Linked DNA regions of Drosophila melanogaster. The protein of the gene in region 1 interacts with the protein of each later gene in a pairwise test. Each region holds a gene or a part of one and is shown in the gene's direction. Other genes may lie near its edges. The genes, in order: Ldsdh1 and Jabba.

Region 1 (5,675 bases):
GATATCTAGATAGATGGCTTCCATTCCATCTGGCATATGGAAGGTGGACCGGATCGTTTCGAATCGGATCGGATAGACGGCGAACCGGAATGAGTGAGTGCAGCATGTCAGCTATAAGGTGTCCGTCCAAGTTCGAGTAGCCGGAAAGGAAGATGCTGCCCTTGATGGAGAGGCGAGCAGATAATGTTAATCAACTTGACTTGGCATTACATCTCAATATTAATATACAAAATTTTTATATTTTACTAAGCTTTCAGTATTCAAACTAGAACGATTTAACACAAGTAATAAATGCTAATGCACTTACTTTGGAATTGCAAACAAAGTATCACCCATGACGTTGACCATAAATAAGTAACAGATATAGCAGATATAGTTAAGATCAGATTAATCGCCCTTTATAGATCTGGTTGCAATTTAAAAGTTTGAGAAACTATTGTGAATATATTAGTAGCACAAGTCTCTAATTAGTCATTAGTGTTGTCAGCTGTAAAATATATATATGTGCCATATAAAAAAAAACCAGTCGTTTATGAATAATTAAATTCTTAGCAATATACTTAATTATATAGAAGCGCCTGTTTGCTATTGCGGATGAACGTTGAACGTTAGTTATATCGCCGATGAAGTGATCACTCATATAAATGTATTACCAATAACCCAAGGAATCCCATTCTTATCTTCATGGGTTGGGCTCTACTCGCCCGACTCTCTATATGGTGAGAGTCCCATACTTTGACCCAATGTTCCAATCGAAAAATAATGCATCATGCTGAGCCGGCAAATGGCAAGGAGCACTATCTAATCGCAATCTGATTCCTATGTCTCAGGGGTCAAGTAGTGCACAGCTAAGACCCTACCCTCTAACCATCATACCCTACCCTGATAAAAAAAAAAAAAAACTAAATCTTTGAACCAAATAATACCTCTCATTGGCGTACATTGTACATTGGTTCTGGTTTCCTGAGCTTTTTTTGTTTTTTTTTTGCCGTAGGCCAAAGATCATCCTGCCAGTGCTTATCTTCGCATATGATTTGGTCAAAAAAAAAATAAGTGAATGAAACCGATCTGTTTAGGCGAAGCTTTTGTGTGTTAATATCGGCGCCGTAGATCTACCTTGGCATTAGCACCCCCTTTGGCACTTTTTTCACCTTTGGCTTTCGCACACCGCATCTCTGTATCTCATCTCTCTGAGTATCGAAGTATCTGTGTATCTAAGTATCTGGGTATCTGAACGATCTGGGTCGTAAACTCCGCCTGGTTGTGTGTATTTTTATATATGACACATATATATCTTATTTATGGCCGACTAGGGTATTATTACCGGACCCCGGATTAACAAACAGGCATTTGCTATCTAACAAAAATAAATACATACATAGAAATATGCATTTCATACCGGCTGAACCGTTGCACATCCGCGGATATCGTTCGTTCCATATAGATCGGATCGGATCGGATCGCATCGCATTGGATTGTAATGGTATAAATCGGAATGACAGTGCCATTGAACATATGTCGTAGTTGTGTTTATAGAACGCTCTGCCTGCGTCGCTGCCGCGGTCGACGTCAACGCTGCCGGCAGAGTGTATCTACAAGTAGTGCCGGTGTGCCAGTGTACCAGTACCATATAGTATTTGAAAACCCAGTGGTGTGTGTGTGTGTGTGTGAGTGTGTGTGTGTGAGTAGATTTGAAATAATAACTTATAAGACCGGCGTGGCGGTACGGTGCGTAGTGTTTACTTTGCTCAATATTCAGTCCGAATTCGTTAACAGCCGCTAACGGTTTGCTCCGGCTGCTCCGATCCCTTCCTATATACGTATATATATATATAGATATATATATACATTAACGATCCTCGCAGGATTTAGCCAAATACACGAAACATGTCGAAAGTGACGCAAAGGTGGGTAATCACCGAAACAGAAGTGCTACCCACCAGTTGGTAACAAATCAAGAAAAGAAAAAGAAAAAAAAAAAACCTAAGAGAACTATCTTATCAACGGAACATTTGGAACAAAGTGTAGTGCAATATTTTAATCGCCAGCGATAAGATCACCTTATCGACTTGGGTCTACAACCAGTGGCCCGGAGGAGCAGGGTTCAATGAGCACCAAATACTAACTAATACTATTCAGCTCGATGGAATAATTGGCCCAGAGATCGCATTATAGATGACCAAACCATCCATATGAATGATGATGGATGATCGCTTCAACCTTTGACCAACCATTGTGCAATCTGTATCCGCTCACTTAAGCGCCATTCACCTTCGTTCGACTTAGTTTAACTATATCAAATTGCCCTGACCAAAGATCGCCTTACACTTATTGACCGGGCAAAGGATCATTTGAAATTTTTTTTTTTCGGTGAAATAGTTTTCACACGCTTGAGAGGACATAAGTGCAGAGGATCGCAGTTCAAATACTATGCTACTTTCCAAAATGGAAAATATTTTCCAATATTGTGGGCTGTTCGGAACGATTTTGGTCCGATTCCGAACGTCGTACTATAAATAGCATTCCAGAAGTAGCATTCCGATAAGAGCAGTCTCCATGGCAGTGAAATGCGCAAGTGAAACGGAGCGATAGAAAGTGCAAGGGGGGCGAGAGCGAGAGAGAGAGGGACATGGTAATGATGGTCAAGTCGATGGCACGATCTGCTAGAATATATAGCAAGTATATATATATACATATATGCATATACTATCGCACTACGTAATGCATGGGCGAAAACACATTGAAACCACACCAAAAAAAAAAAAAAAAAAACCAAAAAGCTGGAAACAGTTCGGCATTATCAAGATCTCACGCAGCTGCAGCCAGCGAAATATAATTACAGAACATGAGCTGGGAGAAAACACGATGACCCACGTTGGAACCACCCAAACCCGCCCATTGCCGCCCCCCTTTTTTTTTTTTTGGCTATTTCCGCATTTCCCACGAAAAACCGAAACACATTACATGACATCATTGATAAGTAAATAACAGAAATGTGTCATAAAAAATGGAATGATACAAAGAAAATTTTTCATTTAAGCGACTTGTTTTCTCCCAGTGTAGCCGCAAAAAGTGAGGATGGCAAAGGTCATGCGATTGTCGCTGGCTGTAAGATAAGGCATATACACGCACATACTTGCCATCCAAATGACTGTGGGTCATGCAAGAGTTGGAGGGTTCCGGATTAATCCCATTTGAACTCCACTCCGCTTGATAATTATGATGATGCCCAAGATCAAGAGTCAATGTAGAGAAAGCACGCACTTGCCACAAAAAACCATAGCATTATGTGGTTTACTTTATTATTAAAAAGCAAATATATATATATTTAATGTAGTTTACAGAAACATGCTCACAATTAAGCCTTAAATTTACCCTAATATTTGGTAATAATATCGTACATATTTCTTTCAGTGCTGACAACGGCAGCAACGCCAACAGCAATGACATCTACAACATTGTCCTGCTGGTGGTTGACATCGTGATGCTGATCGTCAAATTCTGGCTCGCCATTGCGGAAGCTATCGTTGGACTTTTCCGCGCGCCGCCGCTCGATGATGTCAATGGCAAGGTGGTCCTGATCACCGGCACTGGCCACGGCATGGGCAAGGAGATGGCACTGCAGTACGCCAAGCTGGGCGCCACCATTCTCTGCTGGGATGTCAATGAGCAGACCAATAACCAGACCGTCAAGGAGATCAAGAACAATGGTGGCAAGGCCTTTGGCTACGTTTGCAATGTGACCAAGCGCGAGGAACTGATCGAACTGGCCCAGAAGGTGCGCAAGGAGCATGGATTCATTCATGTGGTGGTCAACAATGCCGGCATCATGCCCTGCCATCCACTGCTGGAGCATACCGAGAACGAGATTCGTCTAATGTACGAGATCAATGTGCTCTCTCACTTCTGGGTAAGTTGATGTGATAGTGTTAATATCGATGTTATCTCAATAGTAACATTGACGACCATTCACTTCATTCACAGATCATCCAGGCGTTCCTGCCCGATATGATTGAGCGCAACGAGGGCAGCATTGTGGCCCTATCCTCATGCGCCGGACTCTTTGGACTGATCAATCTGGTGCCCTATTGCGGCACCAAGTTCGCCGTTCGTGGCTACATGGCCGCCCTCGTTGAGGAGCTGCGTCAGAAGAACCCACAGAACAACGTAAGTACCAACTCACTCACACTTTTATTAGCATTTAGTTGCTCATTATAATCCAGTTGAGTGTCCAATTAAAAGGTTATTAGGTGGTTAAGAGTAGCTAATTAAAAATAATATATTATAGCTCGTACCAAGCAGCCCGTTTAATTCTCACCGTTAGGCGAGCATCTTGGTTTCACACTACGATTTTATTATCTCATATGGATGAGACCTTTTCCCATAATAACTCCATGAATTCGAAGTTTAATATAACCCACCTACTTTCCGCTTGCAGGTCAAGCTGACTACCATATATCCGTATATGATCGATACGGGTCTGTGCAAGAATCCCCGCTACCGATTCCCCAATCTGTTCAAGCTGATACCCGCCGATGTGGCCGCCGGATCGATCATCGAGGCTCAGCGCCAGGGATTGGAGGAGGCGGCGATTCCACGACATTTCGTGGCCGCTGAGAAGATCGGTCGCCTGATTCCACGCAAGGCGATGCGATTGGTCAACGATTTCTTCGACACGGGTGTGGATACCGATAAGTCCTAGAGCTCAGCTCCAAGTGGCCAAATTGAACACCCCATTATCCATCTAAAAGTGGATGATTTAGCTTTAATCTTCTCCCCCCCCATTTGTTCACTTTATTTTGCTTATTTTTTTTTTCCCAGTGTACTATTAACTCCATTTAATTGCTGTGTAGAGAAGTGCAACTAATGCTATATGAAAAGTGAATTTAACGAACTAAATTTAGCTGTTAGAAAGGTTGTTACTTAATTAAAAAGTCGCACGTAGTCGGGCTAATTGTGTTGGTCGTAATAAAGGTCTCCAAAGAGTACTCCATAATGTGATTAAATGTGGTTTGACCCGCTAGTCATGGTCTTAATGGTGCTCATCGTATGGGGTTTCATCTGTTTCCCGCAGCTTTGGCAAACAGTTTGTATTTAAATGATAACTTTATTTCAATTTGCACATCATATCAACATATCCAATAGTTCATATTCATATTTTTTTTTACTGGTGCTTCATGGATCCTTGCGAAGCTCTTGGCTCTCCCGAAGTCCTCTTGTCATAGTTTCCCGACGTCTGAACCTTTCGCTCGGGCTTGGTGTATACGACGGGCTCACCCTGAAGCTTTTCGTCAGCCGGATTCCATTCCTCAAAGACCGTACGCTCCATGATCACCTGCCGCTTGGAACGCTTCCTCTCCACACTGAGTATGATGTCCTGGAATTCGGTGATGGCCGTGCGAAATTCTTCATCGCCCTCGATCATCATCACAAACTGATCGGGATTGTCGGGATCCAGCTCGAGAGTGGGCGCCAGTTGTTGCTGCTTCCGGACACGTTCCTCCTCGGCCATTTGAAGCGTTTTCCGCTTTAGCCTAACTTCATCATAGCGAGCCTCCAGTAGTTTACACCGCACGATCTCCCGCTCGAACATCTTCCAGAAGATATAGTGTTAATTAGAGAGAGGGGATTACATTACAGAATGTTCAATTCTTACGGCGGCCATGAGTGCCTTC
Region 2 (6,742 bases), on another chromosome or scaffold:
AACAGAACAGAACCGAACAGAATGCCCAGTGTGTTGGCCACTTATTTTCATTTAGCCATGCCAACTGCCATCGATGTACTTGCGTGTCTCAGTGTGTGTGAGTGTGTTAGTGTGTGTGTGTGTGTGGACCGGAAGCGCAGCGGCATGCAAAGACGCCATAACTGCCATGACGAAACAGCAGCTGAAAATGAGGGGGGGGGGGTGGCGGTTTGGGTGGTGGAATGGCCGTCGTAAAGTCCGCGGAACCTGTGCGTTTCAGAGGTTATCGGTCCTAACCCCTTGCTGACATGGCGCCAAAATCGGAGCGAGGGAGGTTCGATAAGTTCCGTGCTGCAAACGGATATCAGAAAGCTAACATTTACTTTTAGTTCAAAGTTTTTTATTCGTTTGGCTAACTGTTAATATTTTATTTACAGTCTATTGATTAATTATTTCGAAGAGAACACACATTTGTCAAGGGCAAACTTTTTATAGACATCTTTGACCTTAAAGATTTTTCTATTGCGTACATGCCTTAACATTTGAACAAGTGTTATCCCACAAATGCGGACAAATTAAAGATTTTATATATATAGGTCAGTAGACCATGATTTATGTATGTGTTTGTAAATGTTTCTTAATGCCCTATTTGTCTGCTTTTCTTCACAAACAACTCGAGCACCCCATTGTCGTGGCAAAAATTTATGCGCAAACTAATTTAGCCAAAGCCGCACTCAACCCGCATAAAAATAGCTGTCCAAATTGTGCGGCGTTGGCTTTTGAGAGCGACTCAGCTGCTCAAGTGGCAGCATTCAGTGGAGCCCGGCCATATACTCGTGGCTATATACCACACGCCAGCATCAAAGGGAGTTGGTCGGGCCCAAAGGATAAGGGATAAGGGATAACGGATTACGTGAGGTGGGCTGCTTCAAAATACAAAAATGTAAAACACACACACGCAGCTGTCACAGGTGGAATGTTTCTAGTCAGCCAGGTGTGTTTGGTGGCTTATCAATGGCAATCGTGGGAGCCAAACATTTTTATTTCGCCAAAAACACTTACACATCCTGACAAGCACACACACAGTTCGCTGAATTTGTGTGAGTGAGGTCACCAAGACAAGTGCATACGAATTTCGCGACTACATCCTCCTGCCTGCGCGTTTTTCCGAGTTTCCTTGCTGGCTGCTGGTACTCCTCGTGATTTTCCTATTCTCCCATTCAGGACTTGCCCTGCCGTTTTGCATTTGCAGTTGGGCAAATAATGTTTCACAACACACTGCACACGGTTAAACTTTTCCTGCTTTTATATCCCCAGCTAGTTGCGGCACACACACGCGAGATGAATGGGGTTTTTCAGCGGGCGCAAATAGAGGAGCATGAACGGAGTCCTTCCAGAAATTCGCGTGGGAAACGGGCGGAGCGGGAAGTCCCTTTGATTTTACACAGAAACGCGCGTTTCGAGTGAGCGGGACGGAGAAGCGCTCCGCAATGCCGTCCGCTGCCGTGGAGAATTTTCGCGCAACTGAATGCTTGTCGAGAGCTTTTCCGCGCTTGCTGGGCTTCGAGAGCTTTTTGCGCCGAGCGAAAACGAAATTGAGTGCAATTCGGTCGAGTGGTTGCTCAAAAGAACCGAAAGGACGAAGGGTCCTTCAAACAGGATAAACAAGCCAGGTAAACACGATTGTCATTGGCGACAGGCTTTAAAATCTATAGCGACAAGCTTCGCTTTGCTGATCCTATATTCATGGCAAATTCATTTAATTTAATCTCCTTAAATAAGAATTACTTAACATTTAACATTAACGTTAATTGAAAAGTAAAATGGGTAGAGTATAACTTACACTTAATTATGTGTACTTTCACAGAGTTAATAAAAGTACTAATTTCGAAATATTTGAATATTTGGTTATTCAGACTGATCAGTTTTAAAATTTTTAAATCGAAATACCAGCTAGTTGTAAATTTCCAATCATAATTGGGAGATCTTAAATGCAGATCTGCAATAGCAGATAACCATCGTCACTTAGACTTCCTATAAACAATACCTTTGCAAGATTATAATAATAAGAGAGGCATTCGGTGAGACCTCAAACGAGAGATAACGCTTTTGACAGTTGACTCGACTGCTCGTTTTGGAGCCGAATCAAAGCCGATTGCCCGGCTTAAGTCGATTGCGGTTCGAGAACTCGCGATTTCAGAACCACTGATCAGTCAGTCGGGAGTTGTGCAGCCGGTAGATCGTTTCTCCAGGATTTCAAGGCAGATTTGGAAGAAAGTTCTGCCAAAGTGTTTTTTATTATATCCAAAAATCTTCTAGTAACTGCATTTTTTGGGCAAACTATCGGCTGGTACGAGAGTTTAAAAGAAGGCCTATAGAATTGCACAAAATAGCGTGAGAAAGGCAATCGAAAAGACCGGTAAGTGAGAATTCCGCATAAGTCGGTTTGTGCGGCCGCTCCGCTGATTCGCGATCGCCATTATGTCAGGAAAACGAAACTACCGTTATCAGCTCGATTCCCCCCAGTGCCTTGCACTTTATACTTTCGCTCTGCTTCCCCTACTTTTCCTTCGCCCCCTTTCACATCGTATTCCTCACTCGCCGAAGAGCAGACTTCTGCACTTCCATCTCGTTACACTGGCTAACAGGGTTTCGCTACGATTCATTCGGAGTGCGGCATGTGTGTGGCAGAATGTTTTTAATTTTGCATTTTATGAGAGAGGAAGATACACTTTGATCCCGAGAACAAATTTTTGTGATAATTTTATTATTTTTGTTATTTTATTGAGAATTCGCGTATTTTCTGGGCGATGCAATAAGCGCTAAAAATATCAAATAATTGAGTGTTATGCTTGTGTAACTTTATATTATACGCCAGATTTCTTTCATCGCGCCAAGAATGAGAATGGATGCTATCAATTTCGAAAGTAATTTATGTGTTCACAAGTGCGAGCAAACGATGGGCAAGCCTAGTGCTCGCGATAGGTATTATTTCAAATCACCAATAACCTAACTAGTAACCTCACCCACACAACGATTGCTCCGAGACGGAGATCTCCCGTAATCAACGATTGGAACTATTCCGCCGGCTTGAATCGTACAAAGTTCGGATTGTCTAATTATAAAATACTTAATTTGTTTTGATTTTTGTTGCTGATTCTGCAGCTAGGTCTACTTAATTTCATTTGCCGTTAGTCATTGTCGGCGGAAGGCATTAGAGCTATACGTACATATAGCGACTATAAGTTTTGCCAGACGGCAGCAACAAAAAACAAAAGCAATCCTCCATCCGAAACTCAAACAAGTGCGAAGTACCGATCCGCTCCGATAAGCGATCCACTTTCGGTTCCTCTGGCAGACGACCTCGGATCGTCAGGTTTATTAATAAGGCATTACCGTATTCTTCGCTCGTTCAGCACCTAATCACGCGGCAATCCCAAATTTATGGCAGCTCTAGTAATTGCCGAGAATTAAATTGCCATTAAGTCGAATTATAGACAAGATTGCATATTAAAGCCACAATGTGCACTAAAAAAGTGCATATATTGACATATAACAGCGAAAAATTATACAGATGAAACGTCCTAGCAGATATACCGCACTACTTACAGTTGCAGTTGCTTATCTCACTTGAATACATCCAATAAAATTTGCTTTTTAGAATCAGCAAGATGGCACAGGAGACGAAGACCGTGGCGACAGCCAAAGACCAGAACCAACGAGACCATATCGACGAGGAAGAAGTCATCGAACTCCACGAGTCACGCAGCTTTTACGATCGGGTTCGCGAACAGGCGGAGCGATTTGCTAGCACACGAGTTGGCCAATTCGTGATCGAACGGGCTGATAAAGCGCTGGCCATGATCGAGGATACTGCCAAGTGGAGTCTTCCGCAAGGTGAGCAAATATCAAATATTATATCCTAAAATTAATATGAAAACCTTAACTAAAACCTTAACCTAACTAAATTTGCCTCCCTCTTGTATATAGACAAGTCTTCTGCTCCCTTGGAACGCCCCCTGCCTTGGGCTCCATTCCTGATGCTCATCGTCCTGCTGCGGCTCACACGCATTTGGTTATCGGTTGGCGCCCTGATGATCGGCAATGGTCCAATATCTCCTACGGATATGGTATACTTTATACAGACTAGACGCCGCAAGCTGCGGGCCATTCGGGTTCATGGCCTAAAGGTGATGAGACGGCGCCAGCAGGAGGTGTCCTATGGCAGTGGCAAGGGTATGACCCAGAAGCTCAATCAGTGGTTTTCCCGAGCCATGTGCCGTCCAGGAGTTCAGCAGGATAGCAGCAGTCGCCGGGTGTTTGTCCGCCATTCGGAGCAGGTCAGTTTGAGGCTTTGAAAATTTCGATTAACTAATAAATGTATCTCCAAATTGATTGTACAGGGTTTAAGCAATTTCGTAGTTAAGCGCCCTCGAGAGGAGGACTGCAATGCCGATGCCGACCTGACCATCGACCAAATGCTGGCCAAGTATGCCAACGAGAATTCCGAAGATGACTCCGACTTTGTGCCCAATGAGGAGGAGGAGGAGGAGGAAAGCAGCAGCAGCAGCGGGGAAAGCGAATCCGAATCCGGCTCCAGCGAAGGAATAAGCAGCGGCGAGGTGGATGAGGTTGTCAGCCAGGTGGGTTACACAATAGCCTCTTACTAGTGCTCCAATTAATCAAAATGATACCTTAAGCCCAAGCAGAAGTCAGCTGGAGCGGTGGTGGAAAACGGAGTGCACAAGGCCGAGGAGAAGGAAAATGATAAGGGAAAACTGAACATAACGACAACCAGCAATGGCAACAACGACAAGGAGCAGGCGGATGTTGGTAATGGACATTGAACATTATTAAGACTCTCGTGCGTAGCCCCCTAAGTCTAGGTTAACTCCAAGTATCGATTATCGAATTAAGCGTTGATGAAAACTGAACTTGAAACGTTGTCATGAAATACAATACAATACCGATACAACAATACACTTAGTCATTTCCGTAGATCATCCATTCATTTGCAGGCCCGAAAACGAAAAATTCAAAATTAGCCACCAAGCCACTTGTGAGTTTGGCCCCCTCGTTTCATTTCCTTCCCGTTGCCCTGACCTCGAATCTCTCTCTGTTTCTCCCCCATTCCCAACCGAATGATAACGATCGCAGCCGCTGCCCAGCCGGATGAGGAGTGGAAATCTTCGCCAGGACACATGAGCGCAGCCGTGATGAATACCCGACTGTACAACAATACTGCCGCTGCAGGTAACTCACGCGAGAATCGCTCCACGTCGTCCCAATTAACATTTTAACGTTAGTATTCTGTCTCTGTTTCTGTTACTCCGTGCATGTGTTCAAACACAACAGTCACCACTGATCCTGATCCAGAACCTGACACTCAGCCTGAACCCGAATTCCCATCCGAACCTACATCCCAGTCCCAACCCTCAACCGAAGAAACAGATGACGATGCAGAGGATAGTTGCAGCTCCAGTGGCAGTAATCAAACCGGGATAACTGTCTACCAGGCCGATGAAACCCAGCCAGATACCCAAGCTGAACAGATCCTTGAGATTGCCGCCACGTTAACTGATTCACATCTATCCAACTATCCCACTGTTGACACCCTAACTCCTGCCACCTCCTCCGAAGACATATTCTATAGCCCTATTGGTGTGTGCTCTTCCATCTTAGTCTCTTCTGCTTGCTAACTTGCCGACATAATATTTTTAAGCATTTTTAATATCTTAAATACTTATCATTCCCCATTTAGGTTCACCCACTTGCTTCAATACTAGCCTAGGAACCCAGGCTCTCCTCAAGAGGGCCAGCATTCAATCCGTCCTGGGCAAGTAATTAAAGAGCATTACCTGTTTGTAAACTGGCTAATATCACTGTGTTCCTCAGCCCACTCCACGCCCACGACGGAGATGAGGGATCAACCCATTGAAGAGGCAAACAACTCGGTGCCCCAAACACCTGAGACCGAGAAAACTCAGCCCCAAACTCCCAAGGAAGTCCATAATCAGAATCAGCAGCAAAATCAACAGCAGCGCCAACGCAATCATCCCCACCAACGTTATCGTGGACGCAATCGGCGCTAGTCCTTGGAAGGATATCCTTGTCATATCGTTTGAATTTCCTCCTAGCCAGCTAGCCGTTCTTCTATTTTTTTTACATTCCCATATTGTTAGTGAATACTGCGAGTAAATCTCTGAACTTAACCGATAGTCTGTACTTGAGCTTAGGATAAACATATCACATTAAGTCACCGACTGGTTCCAATTTAAAGCGAATGTCACCGCAGGGTGATAAGATAATGGTGCTTTCATATTCAATCGGAGTTTCGGGCAGCCAGCTGACCTTGTAGCTTCGCAAGAGTCGCACCAGCAGCGTTTCGATCTCCAGCTCGGCAATCCTTTTGCCAATACAGGTTCGAGGTCCAAAGCCAAAGGGCAGGTATACGAAGGGGTTACGGGTTCGGGCCGCTGGACAAGCCTGGATATCCGGAGCTAAGTCGGACTTAAGCCAGCGTTCCGGTATGAACTCAGAGCTCTGAGCAAAGTATTTATCGTCGTTGGACAGCTCCAGGACACCCATCAGAACTCCAGTGCCACGTGGCACCTGATAGCCCGATAGCACTAGATCCTTGGGTGTTATGCGAAAATTTCCCGGCGTAATAGATGTGATGCGCAGACCCTCCTTGATGCAGGCTCTCAGATAAGGCATGTTTTTGGTATTTTGATCCGTCAACGAGTCCTTGGTGGTGGGCAAT

The links.
Region 2: the proteins of Ldsdh1 (region 1) and Jabba interact in a protein complementation assay, tested with the Drosophila melanogaster proteins (one study listed by BioGRID).

The regions. Positions count from the first base shown.
Region 1 is NC_004354.4:8,077,662-8,083,336, reverse strand, and holds Ldsdh1 (lipid droplet subset dehydrogenase 1), read left to right. Parts: upstream 1-1,731; 5' UTR 1,732-1,887; coding exon 1,888-1,907; intron 1,908-3,414; coding exon 3,415-3,910; intron 3,911-3,984; coding exon 3,985-4,167; intron 4,168-4,438; coding exon 4,439-4,702; 3' UTR 4,703-4,987; downstream 4,988-5,675. Other genes in the region: CG1571 (uncharacterized protein), read right to left, coding at 5,165-5,593, 5,657-5,675.
Region 2 is NT_033778.4:18,756,521-18,763,262, reverse strand, and holds Jabba (jabba), read left to right. Parts: upstream 1-2,180; 5' UTR 2,181-2,398; intron 2,399-3,166; exon of another isoform or gene 3,167-3,355; intron 3,356-3,640; 5' UTR 3,641-3,650; coding exon 3,651-3,876; intron 3,877-3,969; coding exon 3,970-4,319; intron 4,320-4,382; coding exon 4,383-4,622; intron 4,623-4,679; coding exon 4,680-4,812; coding exon of another isoform or gene 4,813-4,826; exon of another isoform or gene 4,827-4,958; intron 4,959-4,978; coding exon 4,979-5,038; intron 5,039-5,136; coding exon 5,137-5,232; intron 5,233-5,285; coding exon of another isoform or gene 5,286-5,334; coding exon 5,335-5,640; intron 5,641-5,740; coding exon 5,741-5,815; coding exon of another isoform or gene 5,816-5,819; intron 5,820-5,874; coding exon 5,875-6,071; 3' UTR 6,072-6,189; downstream 6,190-6,742. Other genes in the region: Cyp12b2 (cytochrome P450 12b2), read right to left, coding at 6,226-6,742.